2 linked regions of the Lytechinus pictus genome follow. The protein of the gene in region 2 interacts with the protein of the main gene of each other region in a pairwise test. Links are inferred from orthologs where the notes say so. Each region holds a gene or a part of one and is shown on either strand. Other genes may lie near its edges.

Region 1 (7,586 bases), on a different chromosome or scaffold from region 2:
ATGATCTATGTAGATTAGAATTATCAACTGCATCTTCAAACATCTGAATGCCAAGTAAGTCCAAATATGATTAGGGGAAGAGGGAATTCACTCCAAAGAAAAACAATGGGTATGTAATTTAGAACAGTAACAGATCGCTGCTAATAGCGTATCGAATATGCTCATGTGCATTGATTGAAACAATCAATACACTTTCACAAATTTATTCTGCATTTTGTTCATCATGATCATGGCGGGAATGGTAAATGAACACTGCACTATAATAATTGTGTTACAACTATACACCACCAGTGTTTTCAGACCACCACATCAAACATTAACACCAGCGTTAAATTCACGGTGTTCGTTCAACACTCAATAATAATAATAATCCGTTTTTTAATATAGCGCTTAATACATCGGAACAACGTGTCTAAGCGCTTTACAGAAAATTATTATTACCCCGGTCATCGGATTCAATCAGTCATTCCCGCACACAATGTGTGCACATCCTCCACTCCCTGGGTAGTATTCCAGTCAGTCGCCGGTGAGGCGCACACAGTACTGGACAAGCTACAATGACTTTCACATCCTACCGGGTACCCATTTAGCACCTGGGTCGAGAGTGGCAAAGTGTGGATTAACGCCTTGCCAAAGAACGCCAGACCGCGGTGGGATTCGAACACACGACCATCTGTTTACAAGGCGAGAGTCAGAACCACTACACCACGGCTCCTCCACATATACCACACTGTGTATGTTATTTTGATTTGTTGGTGTTATATTAAAATCCCATGGTGTATTTTAACGCCCGAAGGTGTGGTCATCCTTGAACACCCCTTATTATTGTTCTTGACACCTCAGTTGCACGTCAAAATGGGACATATTTTGCTTGGAAAGTTAAACAATGATTCGATGAATCCCATGCAAGCAAAATTGAAGCATGTATGCATAATACCATTGATTCGGTTGATCTAAATGTAAAGGGAATCTATATTCTGTCACACTGCGAAACGTATTCCAAATCAACCAATAACTGAAAAAATATACAACTCATTTCGATATCATTTCCATTCACTTGTATTGTGTGTGTCCGGAGTTATACAAGCTCTTATACATTATTCCTATTTCAACCGGAAAGCAGGCACCGTTTGGAAACCCGAACACCGGATGACAAAAATAGCAAAAACAAGTAAAGACAATATAACTTTCTCTGGCTTCACTATTTAGTTATCGGGAGGTTAAACAAGATTACTCGTTACCATGGCATGCAGGATTTACCGCGGTTTAAAGAATCCGGGATTAAAAAGTATATTTAAAGGGACAAGTCGGTGTCCTTCGATATAGTTCCTCGAAACCCACCAGCATGACCAGCACATTTTGCTGGGTGTGCTACGATATGAACCAATTAAAGGTACACAACATATTGCTTCGGAAGTCAGAGTGCGTTTACATGCGGGAGGTAAAATAAAAAAAGGGGGCTTCTAACTCCAAATACATTTTAAAGGTGAATTGTGTACTTAGGAGGCTGCGATGAATGCAAGGAATGCTCCCCAGGGAGTGGAAATTGTGCACTTTTCGTGCGGAATTGAAATGAATCCAATGACCGGGGTAATAATATGCTGTAACGCACTTTGAGCCATTCTGGGAAAAGCGCTTTCTAAAAATTGGATATTATTATTATTATTATTAAAATCATGTAAAGCTACAAGTCAGTGAGCTTCGGAATAAACAAGAAATACTAACCTTTTTATATTATGTACAGAACAAAAAGAGAGCGTTTCAGTTCGACGAATGTACTAATATTTGATAAAATTTTGTTCAGAACGTGGTTTCCAAGTTGAATAGGCCGAAAACAAACCATGAGGTGTAATTGGTGTCAACAATAAATATTATGTCGTATATATTGAAAGTGAGATCAAGTCACATATTTACTATTACGATGTATATTTGATATCCGTTTATAACCATTTTGTGTTACAAACCCATTTAAATGCAGATAATAATCATGGTCACGAATTACCCCTATTCGTTTTTTTAATCATGAAAGTGTTGCCAACCATAATCAAGGCATAATAATAATTATAAAAGATGAGATAGAAGCGTTTTATTGTGAGTAAAACGTTGTGAGTACCGAATGGAATAACGTTAAATATTTATATTGTAGGTGGTGATACTAGTATACGTTAAACGTACTAGTACAAGTTTACACTTAAAACAAAATAAAAACAAGTTTTATTTCATTTTTAAAAATAGCAATGTTTGCCATCTGGTGTCCAATAAATTATGCAAACTCGAAGTGCATTGAACTATTACTTCGTATCTAGTTCATTATGTTTAAAACACGAATAGATGGGTCATTCTGAATAGAAAATGGATCAATGATCGATGTTCTCCACAATGTTGAACAATAATTCCCCACAATATACATCATTACTCATGGGTACACAAAAATAGTGATGGCTAAAATCATTTCTAAATCGGGACATACTGACCAATACCACACACCCACAAACACACCGCGTTTGTTATCAAGGCATCTAATAAATAGGCTATACACTCGATCATCAAACAACGTTTATCTCTCTTCTGAAATTCATCATGGACTTTGTTTCCAGAAACAATCGTAAACATATACTAATCGAATTAATAAACCTTTGCACGGACGTCGAGTTTAAAGGGGAAGTAGATTTCGACTTACTTTGCTTGTCCCATTGGGCGACGTGTGGCGAGCCCTTGCCCTTGGACATGTCGCCCGACTGGTCTCTGCTAAATCGAAGACGAATCTGAAGAGATAAAGACAAATAGAATTGAGCTATCCAAATTATGTATCACTTAATTGGAGATGGGGAAGAGAGAGCACGTCCAAAATGATTAGGTGCCCAGTAGGGGACCAAACTTGAGTTATCGTCTGCAGATATAGTCTCCGTATTAATCCAAGGTTAGTTGATGTCAGACGAGTAATAATCCAGATATTAAAACCTAGAGGCCGATGATGAGGTGCTTGAATACCTAAGGATGGTATCAAACTGGGACCAAGAAGCGGTTATCAGCTGAGAGATGCTTTTTAAAGATATAGAATAATGAATATAAGTAGCTGCGAAGCAACCTGCGGATCGTCGAATCTTCCCTCGCCCGAGCCGCCCCAACCGAGCACTCTCGTGTGCTCGCTCTATTGTCCTCTCCGCGGTTGCACGGTCCAAAGAACTCGAATAAAAGCAATACACTCGTACAAACCTTACTTAAATAATATCAACAATACCTCAAAGGGTCTTTCCTTTACTAAACACAGACGGTATCATGGAGAAAGTGAAAGGAAAGGTAAAAGAATAGAATTATACGAACCATTGTGTATCTGCATGTGAATGCAGTGTTACTGGTAATAATTCCATTCACGGACTTCTTTCGCGGAATGAGCGCAAGACGATGCGAACCTGCTTGTCTCTCACAAAAATTGATCAGCTCACAGACTCGGTACGTATAATATTCGCGCGGGTCTGAAAAAGGAGAGAAAATAATGTTCCAGAGAAGTATATCCGAATGGGTATAAACACAATTGAAATCGCAGGCTTTTTCTTCTTCTTTAGATTTATTTTCTCACAGTTGAATGCAAAGATGCCGAACAACTGAAAAAGGTCAGCAATATTTTTGTTAAGGTTTCTGTTTGCCACGAACCGGCCACGAAGCAAACTCTCCTTTTCGTGTCTTTTCCCCTTTATATATTTTTGTTTATCAAATTTTGAGAACAAAATGCCCCCCATCTAAAACAAAATCCTGGATAATAACTTTCATTGGATTAACACTCTTTAACAAACTACAATTAGTAAACATGATTAGATGAAATCGTGAGCTTGATATGATTTTGTTAATAAGTATTATTTACTGCTTTAGTTGTATTCAACAAGATTTTTATTTCTGAGTAGAATGACAATGACGAGGTATACCACCAATCTGTTATTCTCCAAATATAGTCATTTTTAGTATAAATTGGGTATTGTTTGTGGGGTTTATAGATTCGGGTGGGGAACCAGGATGAGGAAGGGGGCGCGTGGGGACATGTCCATGTTAATAGTTAACACAACTTTAGTATTAACGCAATATAGGCCTAGACATTAAATTATACTTCCACTGCTTGAAAGAAACATTCAATATTGTTCCATGATACGCACTCTAAATTGCAGGGATTTAAAATTAATCTAGATGGACTGCATTTATAGGGATCAATCGAATTGTGGATTTAGTTTAAATCTTAAAAAACACTTGAGGGATATATCTAATACTTTGAGATTTAAAAAATGAATCTGTAGGATTCAAACTAAATCCAGAATTCGATCGGTCCCTTATTACGGTCCGTCTGGATTTATTTTTAATTTCTGCAAATTAGAGTTACGGGGTTCGAATCCCTGCTCTAATCATGACTCAGTTGGTAGAGCAAAATTGTCGTAGACCTTGCAGCTCCACGCCTTTCCCAATAAAAAACTTTAGACGATATATGGGGGGATAAATTATCGACAGCAAACTGGAATAAAATTTAACTTAACTTGCCATTTATAGGCGTGAAAGACCAGTAAATCTATTTGACTTGAATCTATATAAATAGCTCGACTCTGAACCTGATGTTTTATTGTTAAATAAACAAAGGTAAATATACGTGTAACCCGTGTCATCAGTTCACGTGAGAAGGCTGTATGACGGTGTCAAGTGTCACGTGATCAAGTCTGTCATTTGCATTGGGGTGACCACCCTTTGGTTTTTTTTATTGAAGAGAAAAGGAAAGGATAATTTTATTATTGGAAAGAAAAAAAAAGAATTCTGGAGGAAAATAGATTATAGGTTTTCATGATAATGCTATACTACTACTGACAATGATCTTTTTATTATCATTATTAAAATGCAAGCAAATTAACCTGGACCATGTCCCCATCCCTTCCATAGAAGGTGGCACCGCCCCTGATCAAGAAAAGCTCAGTCACTTTATCACTGCAAATGAATTAGGTTTTTAATTGAAAAGATATGGGAAGACTGGATTTACATGAATGAAAAAGAAAGGATAATACCACAAAGTGATGAATTCTGAGTCCGAATTGAATTGATTCCATAATAATCGATACAAGGACGTTACGTGATTATTTGGTAATTTTAGAATTGTTAATTGACAAATAGATTGGACAAGTGACCATGTTAAAGAACTATTAACGACAAATTATTTGTTCTTTATTGCAACAATGACAAATGGATTATTCACATAGTTAAATGGAAGTACATTTTAGATTCAAATACTTGAAAGAAAGTCCATGATAGAATACATGAATATCAGAACGAGTACAATATGAGGGTGAAGAATGGAAAAGATCGATGGAGAAAAAAAGAAGGAACAAGAAATAAGCAAAAAAGGGAAGAGAGGAAATGAAAACGAAAAAGAGAATGCAAAAAGGTATATATAGAATAGTGAATATCTGATGATGAGCTATTCTAAGTTGACAAAATTACACAAATTGACTTAAACTGGGAAGTGGAATCACTGATGTGGTGGATTATTAGTCAGCCCCTTGTCACTTTAACTCTCCAAAATCGGTTAAATTTACACTGTCAAACTTTGTGTGGTTTCGAAACGTTTCCAAGGCGACATAAAAAAGGAGTAAAAAATGGAGCATTATAGGGTGGCAATGTTTTCACGTTCAATTAATAATTGTTTACAAACTTCTAGTTACCATAGCAATATATGAATTTATTTATGGAAGGCTGTTTATTCATCCTTGACTATACTGAGATCATTCCTGTGTTAAAAAAAAGAACGTTGAAGAACGTATTACAAATATCGTTTCCTTGAAAAATTAGAGAAAGCATATATACTAGGCCTGAAAAACAACAACAACCGAATTTTTGTGCAATTGCTGCATGGTCGAAATTAGTCTAATGCTACAACCTACTACCATTTTCTGAACCAAGAATATCCAAACTGTAAATTGTTCGAAGCAAAATTGTACGCATTCATGCATATGAACAACAAAACTGTATTATACATGAATATATAATTTAATTTATTTGAAGGTTATTGACTGTGTGTAGAAAAAACTCGTTTCATATTGGTTGAATTAGATAGTGAAAGAATAAGGAAAATAAAAACATGCAAAAATAATAAGTAACATATCGTTGAAATGATCATCAAAGAATGAATTTCATTCTTATGAACTAAAAAAAAAATAATGTGAACGATTATGGGAAATTTATTTCTTTTTATATTTCAAATTCCATTGATAAAGTTCAAGCAATAATTACAATATCAGGGGCCGCGGAAGCGGGGGGGGGGGGGGGGGCTTCAGCCCCCCACTTTTTTCCAAAACCATGTACAAAAACGTAAAAATGACCATATGATTGTGATTTTTTGCATGGTCAGCCGCCCCCCCCCCCAATTTGAAAACCGTTCCGCGGCCCCTGAATGTAAAATGATAAAACTGTCTTGAGATAGGATTTATATAGAGACCACCCAGTTCTATTTGACAAAAGGGTCAAACATCAGCCGAAGTCTTATCTCTAAAGGAAGAAAGTGAAGAGAAAGTCTAGCACAACGATGATTCATGGGATATTGTTTCAGTGAATTAATGATAAAAATGGATGATTGTTGCATGATACTACGCTAAAAGACTTCTGATGAAGGTAAGTCGTGTAGAAAAAAACCCCAATGGTTTAGTGTTAGGAGTTGTCGACATGGTAGAAGTAAGTGTAAAAGTTATAGGCCTAGTTATCGACATTAGTAATTTATAGTTACGAAAAATATATTTCCAGTCTGAACATGGTGGATGGGACTTACGGCTGAGAGGGGGGGGGGGTAGGGGTGGTGTTTTAGATAATTATTAGAATATAGTGGGCACATAATTGTTGCTGGATGTCGGGTGCATGGGGTATATATTCCACCAATGACTTTACAACTTTACCTACCATATGCCTACCCGTTGTTTATAAACTATTCCCTTTCTATTCATTCGTTTTATTTGTGTATGCGTGTGTGGGGGTGTGTGTGTGTGTGGGGTCAATATTTGTTTCTTTGATTTTAGGGAATTTCCTTTTCAATTTTTCCCTTTCCGGGGGGAGGGGTCCCTTTAATCACATTGATCTAAGGTAAACCATCGAAATCTAACACATTTTCCATCTTAAGTACTCAACAAAACTTAATGAAGTATATTAATCTCAATGAAATTCATTCAAAAACAAAAGTTTGGCGGGGGTTGTTGCTCGACCTAATTCAAGTGTTCGATCTCATTCAAGATCTGTATCTATTGAGAAATACGTGTAAAAGTGCAGGTTTAGCTAACTTCACCTTGTAATGGTAGAATACTTAAACACACGACCCGTTGATTATTGTCATGCCGGATAATGACAAATGACATACACACCTGTTCTGTAACGCCAATGGCACATTGAATTGACAGCTCTCGGTGACGCCATTCCCCACAATGTCAAAGCTGAAAGTCACCACCTTACTTATTTCATTTTCCTCCATACAGGCCCTAAAGAAGATTTTTTTCAAGTAGTTTGATCTATCTATGTACCCATATCTATCTATCTATCTATCTCCCCCTCTCTCTATATCTATCTATCTATCTTTC
Region 2 (7,840 bases):
CCTAACATGATTCATGTTCCAGAATACAAGCCCAAAACAGGGATTCAATGTTGCTGCTCTTTTCATATTGCTTAATCACTTTACGTTTATCTCTATTATATTAGAAGCTTCATCCTTATGATCATAAAGATTTTTAAATAAATTGATTGAATTCACTATATTAGGCCTATGCAATATATTCATCCATCTGATATTGATTCACTAATTGGAGTGAATAAAAGTTACTAGATCAAGAGTTTTTGAGTGAATTTCATCTTTTAACACTGTGGAATTTTTGGACGCTCCGTCTCGTGTTTATGTTAACTCTAAATTCATTCCAAATTTAGTGTTCCTTGATGTCACTACTAAGGGGTTGGAAAGGGAGTAAACATTGACTTTTTAAGAGAGAGAGAGAAAGCATTATCCCAAATCAGATTACAAAATAAATTTGAAATACGTAAGACAAGGAAAACCATGAAATACAACTAAAACCAACCAAATCTTCAATGCGGCTATTCCAAATTCGGAACTGACCTAGGATTAGGCTGAATAAAGTGTATATCTTCATCACTCCTCAGGCCTCGGTGTTCTAATGAAACACAGTATGAAAAATACCATTACGAGGTCATGTCCGTTAGCGAGAAACTCTATATACAATGCCACACTCCCTCTCTGTGTACTCAATCCCATGTTGAGGTGCGAATTGGCAATCCTCTGCGTTTATATGGGAGTACTGATTGGACTATGCTTAAAGGCTGCATTCAGTTGATAGCAGAGCTGCCAAGTTGTATTTTGCATTTTCAGTATTCTTATCCCCCAAAATCAGTATTTTGACCAAAAAAAATCAGTATTTTTACTGTGTGAGATATATATTTTGTATTTTTCCCCAAAACAGTGTATTTCATAATAAAATGCTTGGCGCACTCACCCATCACGGCGCTCAAGCTGCATGCAAGCTAAAATGCTCACTGCTCTTGCAGATGAAGAAAAAAAAAACATTGAAACTTGTGTATATCTCACCCTGGTTTTTACAAAATGATTGAAAAAAAAACAAGTTACCTGAAATTACATTGATCTTATAACCATATTTGTGTACGTTTTATGAAATAGAGACATATAGAGATGATTTTTCTCAATAAATTACGATTTTTGGTTGCAAAAACGTACTAAATACGGCTAAAACATACTGGTTGGCAGGTCTGTGATAGTATTTCATACCTGGGATGGATTTCAACAAATTTTTGTTCAAACATAGATGCATTCAAGCAGGTTCTTGTCAATAAACATCGTTTTAAAAAGGCAAACATGAAAGACTGAAAAACACTTTTTTGAAAGGTGCTTACAATGCAGACCTGCAAAACCAAAGTTGTTAATGAAACATCGCAGATTTTCATTCGACAGAATAAAAATATAAGAATGCGAAAGAGAAATGAGGCAAACAGGGCTTGAGATAAATAAGAATTTGGCGGGTATTAGACCAAGTGAAATTAATGTAGAACAAAAGTAATTTCCTTCGACAAGAAACTGATCCACAATGTGCTGCACTCAACCCAGGTGAGGTAAATGGGTACTGGTAGGAAGTAATTCCTTAAAAAGCTGTGTGCGCTATGAACGCCTAGCTTAGCCGGGTAATATAGGAGCGCCTTGAGCACCTAACAAGGTGGATATGTGCGCAATATAAATACCCTATATTATTATTATTAAAAGTCAATTACACCAAATTGATATTAGGAAATCAGACAAAACAGACATTAGACCAAATGGCCCGTATTCTGAAGTCGGGTTTAACTTAAACTCAGGTTTAAAGTTGTGGTTTAAGTATGGGAAGCCAAAAGTATCAAAATATTTATTAAGTTGTATGTTTCTTATGTTTACTGTGCTCTTTCCTGATTCATCGATGGTGAAGACAATCATCTATTTATACTTCCTAGACAATTATGAATGATTTAAAAGCCAAATGAGCTGAAGTATGATATCTCTACTGTTAGTGATTATGTAACAATTGGCTGTCCATACTTAAACCCCAACTTTGAACTGAGTTTAAGTTAAACCCGACTTCAGAATACGGGCCAGTGGGTTTTATAGCCCATGTGGTATAACACCATCTAAGATAGATAAAATGCTTTTAGACCAATTGAGTATGAACCATTATGACTTCTTGGTCCAAGGTAGCTTAATCACTTTTGAAAGAACGATGTCGGCTGACTTACGTGTCAAGGATGACGATCTCGACGTTGACATCGTCCCTGTCCTTGTGCAGAAAGTCTTTCAAGAAGTTGGAGACGCTGTCGTACGTGATGTGACCGCACACAACTATATGCCTGTGATGGGAGATATAAAAAAAGGGGAAGAATATGAAATGAGACGTGTAATGATCATAAACACAAGTTTCACAACAAAATCAGGGGGAAAATTACAAGAAGTCTCAAAGTGATTTCACCCTCGATATGTTCAAAAGAGCCCTGAAAAATAAAAATAACCCGAGAGAATCTGTGGTAATAATCTTCTATTAAAAAAAAAATCACAAATTTACAAAATAACAGGGAATCATAAAAAACATCAATATATCAAGATATAGGAAATGTACTGAAAAAGATGTTAGGGGATGGTTTATTTTATAGAAAATGAAGAAATAATGCAGGTTATAATATTTCAATATATTCTATTCGAATGTACTACAATTGTGTCTGTGGGATGCATTCAAATTTGTTATATAATGTATAAATGGGCATACATTATATGAAAATCGACATGGCAAAAAATTGTTGGGAGATAATCATGAGGGCCTGGGTGTTCACAAGATCCATACATCCATACACCCACGCACACATCCTCCCACACCCATATGATGTATGAATACAATGCACATTGCCTCATAAAGAATTCTATGTAAAAACACGCTACTACAGAGATACAAATCGATCATGAGATGGATGGGCATGAGGAGAAATGGAAGGATGCATTACAAAAATACCCACAAAGAAATTTGGTGCCGAGATGCATCTAGAGAATGAAAACATCCCCCCCACCCATTACCAGATGGTTTCCATGGCAACCATACTGATGACAGTTTTCTTGTTTATTACGGTAAGGGGGCAAAGGATAGTAACGGAGTCTCAAGCCAGAAGGCAGGGAGACACCATGCTAACTGTCCAGTGCAGGTGGGAATAAATTAGACACGACAAGAGCGATGGATTTTTCAGTTTCCTAAGTAACACGGGGCGGACCCCAAGTAGCCAAACAATAATGCAAAGAGTGTAGCACAACATTCTCAAATTACATTGACATCTTCATATGTATCAAGACGTGAATTGAAATATGCAGTTTTTCCAAGAAAGTGTAAATGACCAAACAGATAGGCCTACCCTTTGTAGCTTTGTTATAAAGTGCTATTCTGCAATCAGCCTCAGATATGAACGTATTATTTACTGATTCCAGTGACATTCTCTTTTTTTTCTAGGAGGAAAAATACTCTACATGGCTTGTGTGAAATAATTTTTTTTTCTTTCTTAGGTGTAAAAACTGTCACATGGTTAGGGTTAGTATGAGAAATGAATACCGACTTAGAAATGAATACTGACTTTTATTGTTTATTTGTTCACAGAGGTATCATGGCGACAGACATCAGTGACAGCTAGTGCCAAGGAGTTACTTGGATCTAAGAAGGAAGTCTGTTCCCAAAGACTACTCCTACAGGTTACATTTTTTTAAATCTGCCTCCTTGTTTATCATAGGGGGATAATCAAAGTTCCCACTGTTTATTTTATGTAGGACAGCCCAATGCTTTGCTCGTGAGGTAAACAATCATCTAATTAATCAATCGTCAAGAGGCACGTGTCTACGCAGAGAGCTGTATTGAGCACACATTATGTACAACCGACCCATGCCAAACCTTCTCTCTCTCTATTAAGGAGTATTCAATGTCTATAATATTTTTAATTTAAACAGCAGCATTAATCGTGATTGAAAACGCGATACAAACACAGAACACAAACGCAATCAGCATTCCACCATTCGTGGTCGAAAATATAAAGCTGATTATTCATCGACTGTCTTTCATTAAATTTCCCGCTCATAAGAGCAGCTTACTGCGCAGTTTGACCTATCACAAGGAAGGTCAATTGTGTTCAGTGTCCCATTTGCGATGCTGAAATTCGTAAAATCGGAGCTGATCGCATTTCCAAACATACATTTTTTGCGCATTCTTCCTCCGAATTGCGATCTGAAAGACGTTTACTTATTACGATCGGGAATGGGGGACATTGAACACACCCTTTGTTTCTCATTATATCCATGTTTTGTAATAGCATTTTCAATCATGATTCATGTTGCTGTTTAAATTTGAAAAACGATATTGAATACAATGTAATTCAGGCTCTGTTGTGGAAGGTAATATTCTATGATCAAAATGATTTTCACAATTATCTTTACCAATAAAATTTATTGGTTACACTCATATATCTCCTTGTTGACATTCTTCTTGTTAATAAATTTGAAAAAAAAAAGTAAATTATTATTATAACCATTATGACTCCAATAATAGTCTACTATTTTTGCCTCTCAAATCTATTCATTCAAACATTTATGACCCAATGAAAGATCCTTCTCAATACTACTTCTTTAAAGTAGAGTATGTGTAGACCTATGATAGAGACATGAACTGTAATACTTCTAGAAAGCTATTCCCAAAACTGTTACTTATGATCATTCATAACAAGCCAATCTCATTGAAATCAACCACAAATGGTATTCAACTTGTCTAAATTCATATTGGTAGTTGATGTTATTGATATTCATAGCCAAATAAAAATAATCATGAGAGCTGAATTGAATATAGAGCCAGAAATCATACACCCAATTAGCTTTAATTCAACCATGGTGTATATTATTCAATTACCTCTAACAGGGGTGATCACACTTCATTACTTATCATTATCAACAACCACACACCAAATTGAATTACGTACGCCAATTGATACTCCCCCATTAATTAAAACAACAAAAGCAATGCCATTTTTTCTGGGTCACTTATCAATGCGAATGAATGTCATGAATTTCATGAATAGCCAAACGACAAGATATCATCTTTTAAATGGTGGCAAGAACTGTATATGATTTGCGACAATGGTTTGATGTGGCATGGCAAGAGTTTATCCAAAGGAGGGAAAACTGCATAATTGGAGGGGAGGAGGTCTAAGGCACATTACTGAAAGTCAGGGCTGCATCTTTAACACGAGAATTCCACAGGCATCTAAAGGCCTGGTCCCACTCTCCGATGGACACAAAACGTACTCATAACGAATACAGCAGACAAATTTTGGGGTTGCTCCATCTGTTTTCATCCGCTCCAGACAATGGACAAAATGGGCGAACAATGAAATCACAGTGGACGGATGCTCGATGGATATAGAGCGTATAACACGTATGCAAAGAGTACACAACGAATACATAACGTTTTGGAACGGATGGCAAGATTCTTTTCCGTTTTACCATCCTCTCTGCATCCGTATTAAAGTGCAATGGGACCAAGCCTTTATCATCTGATCTTCTAATTTAAAACAAAGAAACCAACTGTGAAAGCAAAAAATCTGCTCTAAAAGACACATAGTTCACTGTAAAAACTGGTTCAGTGTTAAAACTGGATACCAGTTGGTGTCCTGAGAAGACCACACCCCAAGGTGTTTAAAGTACACCCTAGAGTTAGAACCATGACATCAAAGAATGTTAAGGTAATAACCAAAAGTGTTGTTAAGACACCCATGGGTGTTGAACAACAATGTACATTTAACACCAAAGTAATGCTGTCATCTATGTACACCGGTGTATATTGATTAACACCACAGTATTTGCTGTGTTCGTTCACAGCATGGTTCAAATTAATCAATGCACTGCAAAAAAAGGCAGTGTTAATTTAACACCAGCCTAGTATCTATATTGGTCCACACCAGAGAGGTGTTGATACAATACCAGTTTGGTGTTAGGCAAACACCAATTTGGCATTTAAGCAACACCAATTAGTGTTAAACCAATATCGGTGTGATTCTCAACTGGTGTTGTTTCAATGCTTCTCTGGTGTGGACCGATATAGATACCAGGCTGTTGTTAAATTAACACCGGTGTTTTTGCAGTGTGTACTTTATGGAAATACCCAAAACTAGTACAGCATGCATTCCATATGACAGCAGCGTAAAGTTTAATTTTGGAAAGTGAGTAGGCTACATGTTCATGAGAAAAAACTGTCATTAAAAGGTAGAAAAACATGACAAAAAACGGTAATCTATCAATTGGCCATATGGCAGTGTGCAAGAGGAGAACCCCTGTTGATATATCATCCGTTATATATGCTGAGATTTAAACTTATGACCCGCTTTATTATGAAAATACAACCATAGAAGGGGGATGTAATTCATCATGTCAAGTTATAACAGTTATAACATCATATTTTATTCAATGTGCAAGTGATATATTTTAGTTTTTATCCTTATTAATTTATCAATTTTGATGATTTGTTTGATTGTTTAAAGGCTCTATGACAGACCACCCTTTTTGTGGTTATAAGTCAATGTAAATGAATATAAACTGAGATAAATAAAAATAATTAATCAATTAGAAATAAAGGAAAAGGAGCGAGTTGTATTGAATATACTGCAGTACTCTTAAATGGTGTTAAACAATCGATCATAATCCTATTCGAAGGTTATTTTGAGGCAGTATACTGTTACAACGACCTTAGGATATGCACTTCTAACACTGTCTAAGAAAGAAGGAAAGAAAAAGATTTGAGCTATTTTTACCCTTATGGGCACGCACTTATCTACTTATGCGCATCCAAAATCCTTTCAAGGCGGTCAAATGATTGTACGCACACGTACTGGGTTACAAATTTGAAATGCATCTAGCCCTCATTCGTGGTCGGGCATCCCAAAATAGATTTCAATATGTGTGTCTGTGTTGACCAATCTTCCCATGACAGATACTTCTATAGCACCATCTTTGATGATTTGATTATCCTGTAAGAATTAATACTCAACCCCCCCCCCCCAAGAAAAAATAAATAAATAACAGTACAAATAAATTAAATACTCAATGTTCAAATATATATAAATAAACCAACAATCCTTGAAATGTGAAACAAAGGAAATATCTGGAAAGATACTCCAATTCATGTTTCTCACATCCCATGAAATATTTGTGTGATTTTGTTCTACAGAAGTGACAAGGAATGACCTGCAATGAATCAATGATTTCTGCTATCCATTCTAGATCAATGGACTAAGAACCGGGGAGAGAGCTTTCGCCTCCGAGAGGCCACGCTTAATTGAAGTTGACCCAAATATGCACGCTTGTCTTAACTCACACTTCACCAATCTAGTCCAATTTTAAACCTGTACTTGATGAAAAGAGGGCCACTATATGATATTCCCTGCAAGGTTATAGACATATGGAAGGTGCAGAGTTTCACGGTAGTTTATTTAAGATATCATTGTCGATTTCATACAAATTCTACTCTATTCATTGAAGAGTAGCACAGGGATATTCAAATGGGAAGTGGGGGGGGGCAAGAGGAAAGTATGAAAATATGAATATGAGTGTTTTACAGTTGTACAAGACTATACATGTACATGTAGTTCTTTCTCTTCAAAACTCTTTGATCGTGTCCTTATTCTTATCATTATCGTCCATGCCTATTCCCATTCTTCAATATATATAGTTTTTTTTTTATCCCTTTAAGGATGAAAGGGGCAATCTCCCCCCCCCCCCCGCCCCCTCCCCGCCTTCAAACTTTAACACTGCCCCTGTCTGTATATTTGACACTCGTTAATGAGATTGAGAAAAGATAATACAATAGCATATAATGCAA

What was found.
Region 1: the proteins of calcium-activated potassium channel subunit alpha-1-like (region 2) and cAMP-dependent protein kinase catalytic subunit 1-like interact in binary tests that used the Drosophila melanogaster proteins (3 or more experiments, as listed by UniProt). The link is inferred for Lytechinus pictus from reciprocal best matches to the Drosophila melanogaster genes slo and Pka-C1.

What each region holds. Positions count from the first base shown.
Region 1 is NC_087255.1:30,786,975-30,794,560, forward strand, and holds the start of cAMP-dependent protein kinase catalytic subunit 1-like, read right to left. Parts: upstream 3,108-7,586; 5' UTR 3,089-3,107; intron 2,766-3,088; 5' UTR 2,730-2,765; coding exon 2,681-2,729; intron 1-2,680. UniProt on the Drosophila melanogaster protein: Serine/threonine-protein kinase involved in memory formation. Promotes long-term memory by phosphorylating meng and by regulating CrebB protein stability and activity.
Region 2 is NC_087262.1:7,055,411-7,063,250, reverse strand, and holds the start of calcium-activated potassium channel subunit alpha-1-like, read right to left. Parts: upstream 3,039-7,840; coding exon 3,016-3,038; intron 2,301-3,015; coding exon 2,190-2,300; intron 1-2,189. UniProt on the Drosophila melanogaster protein: Potassium channel activated by both membrane depolarization or increase in cytosolic Ca(2+) that mediates export of K(+). Its activation dampens the excitatory events that elevate the cytosolic Ca(2+) concentration and/or depolarize the cell membrane.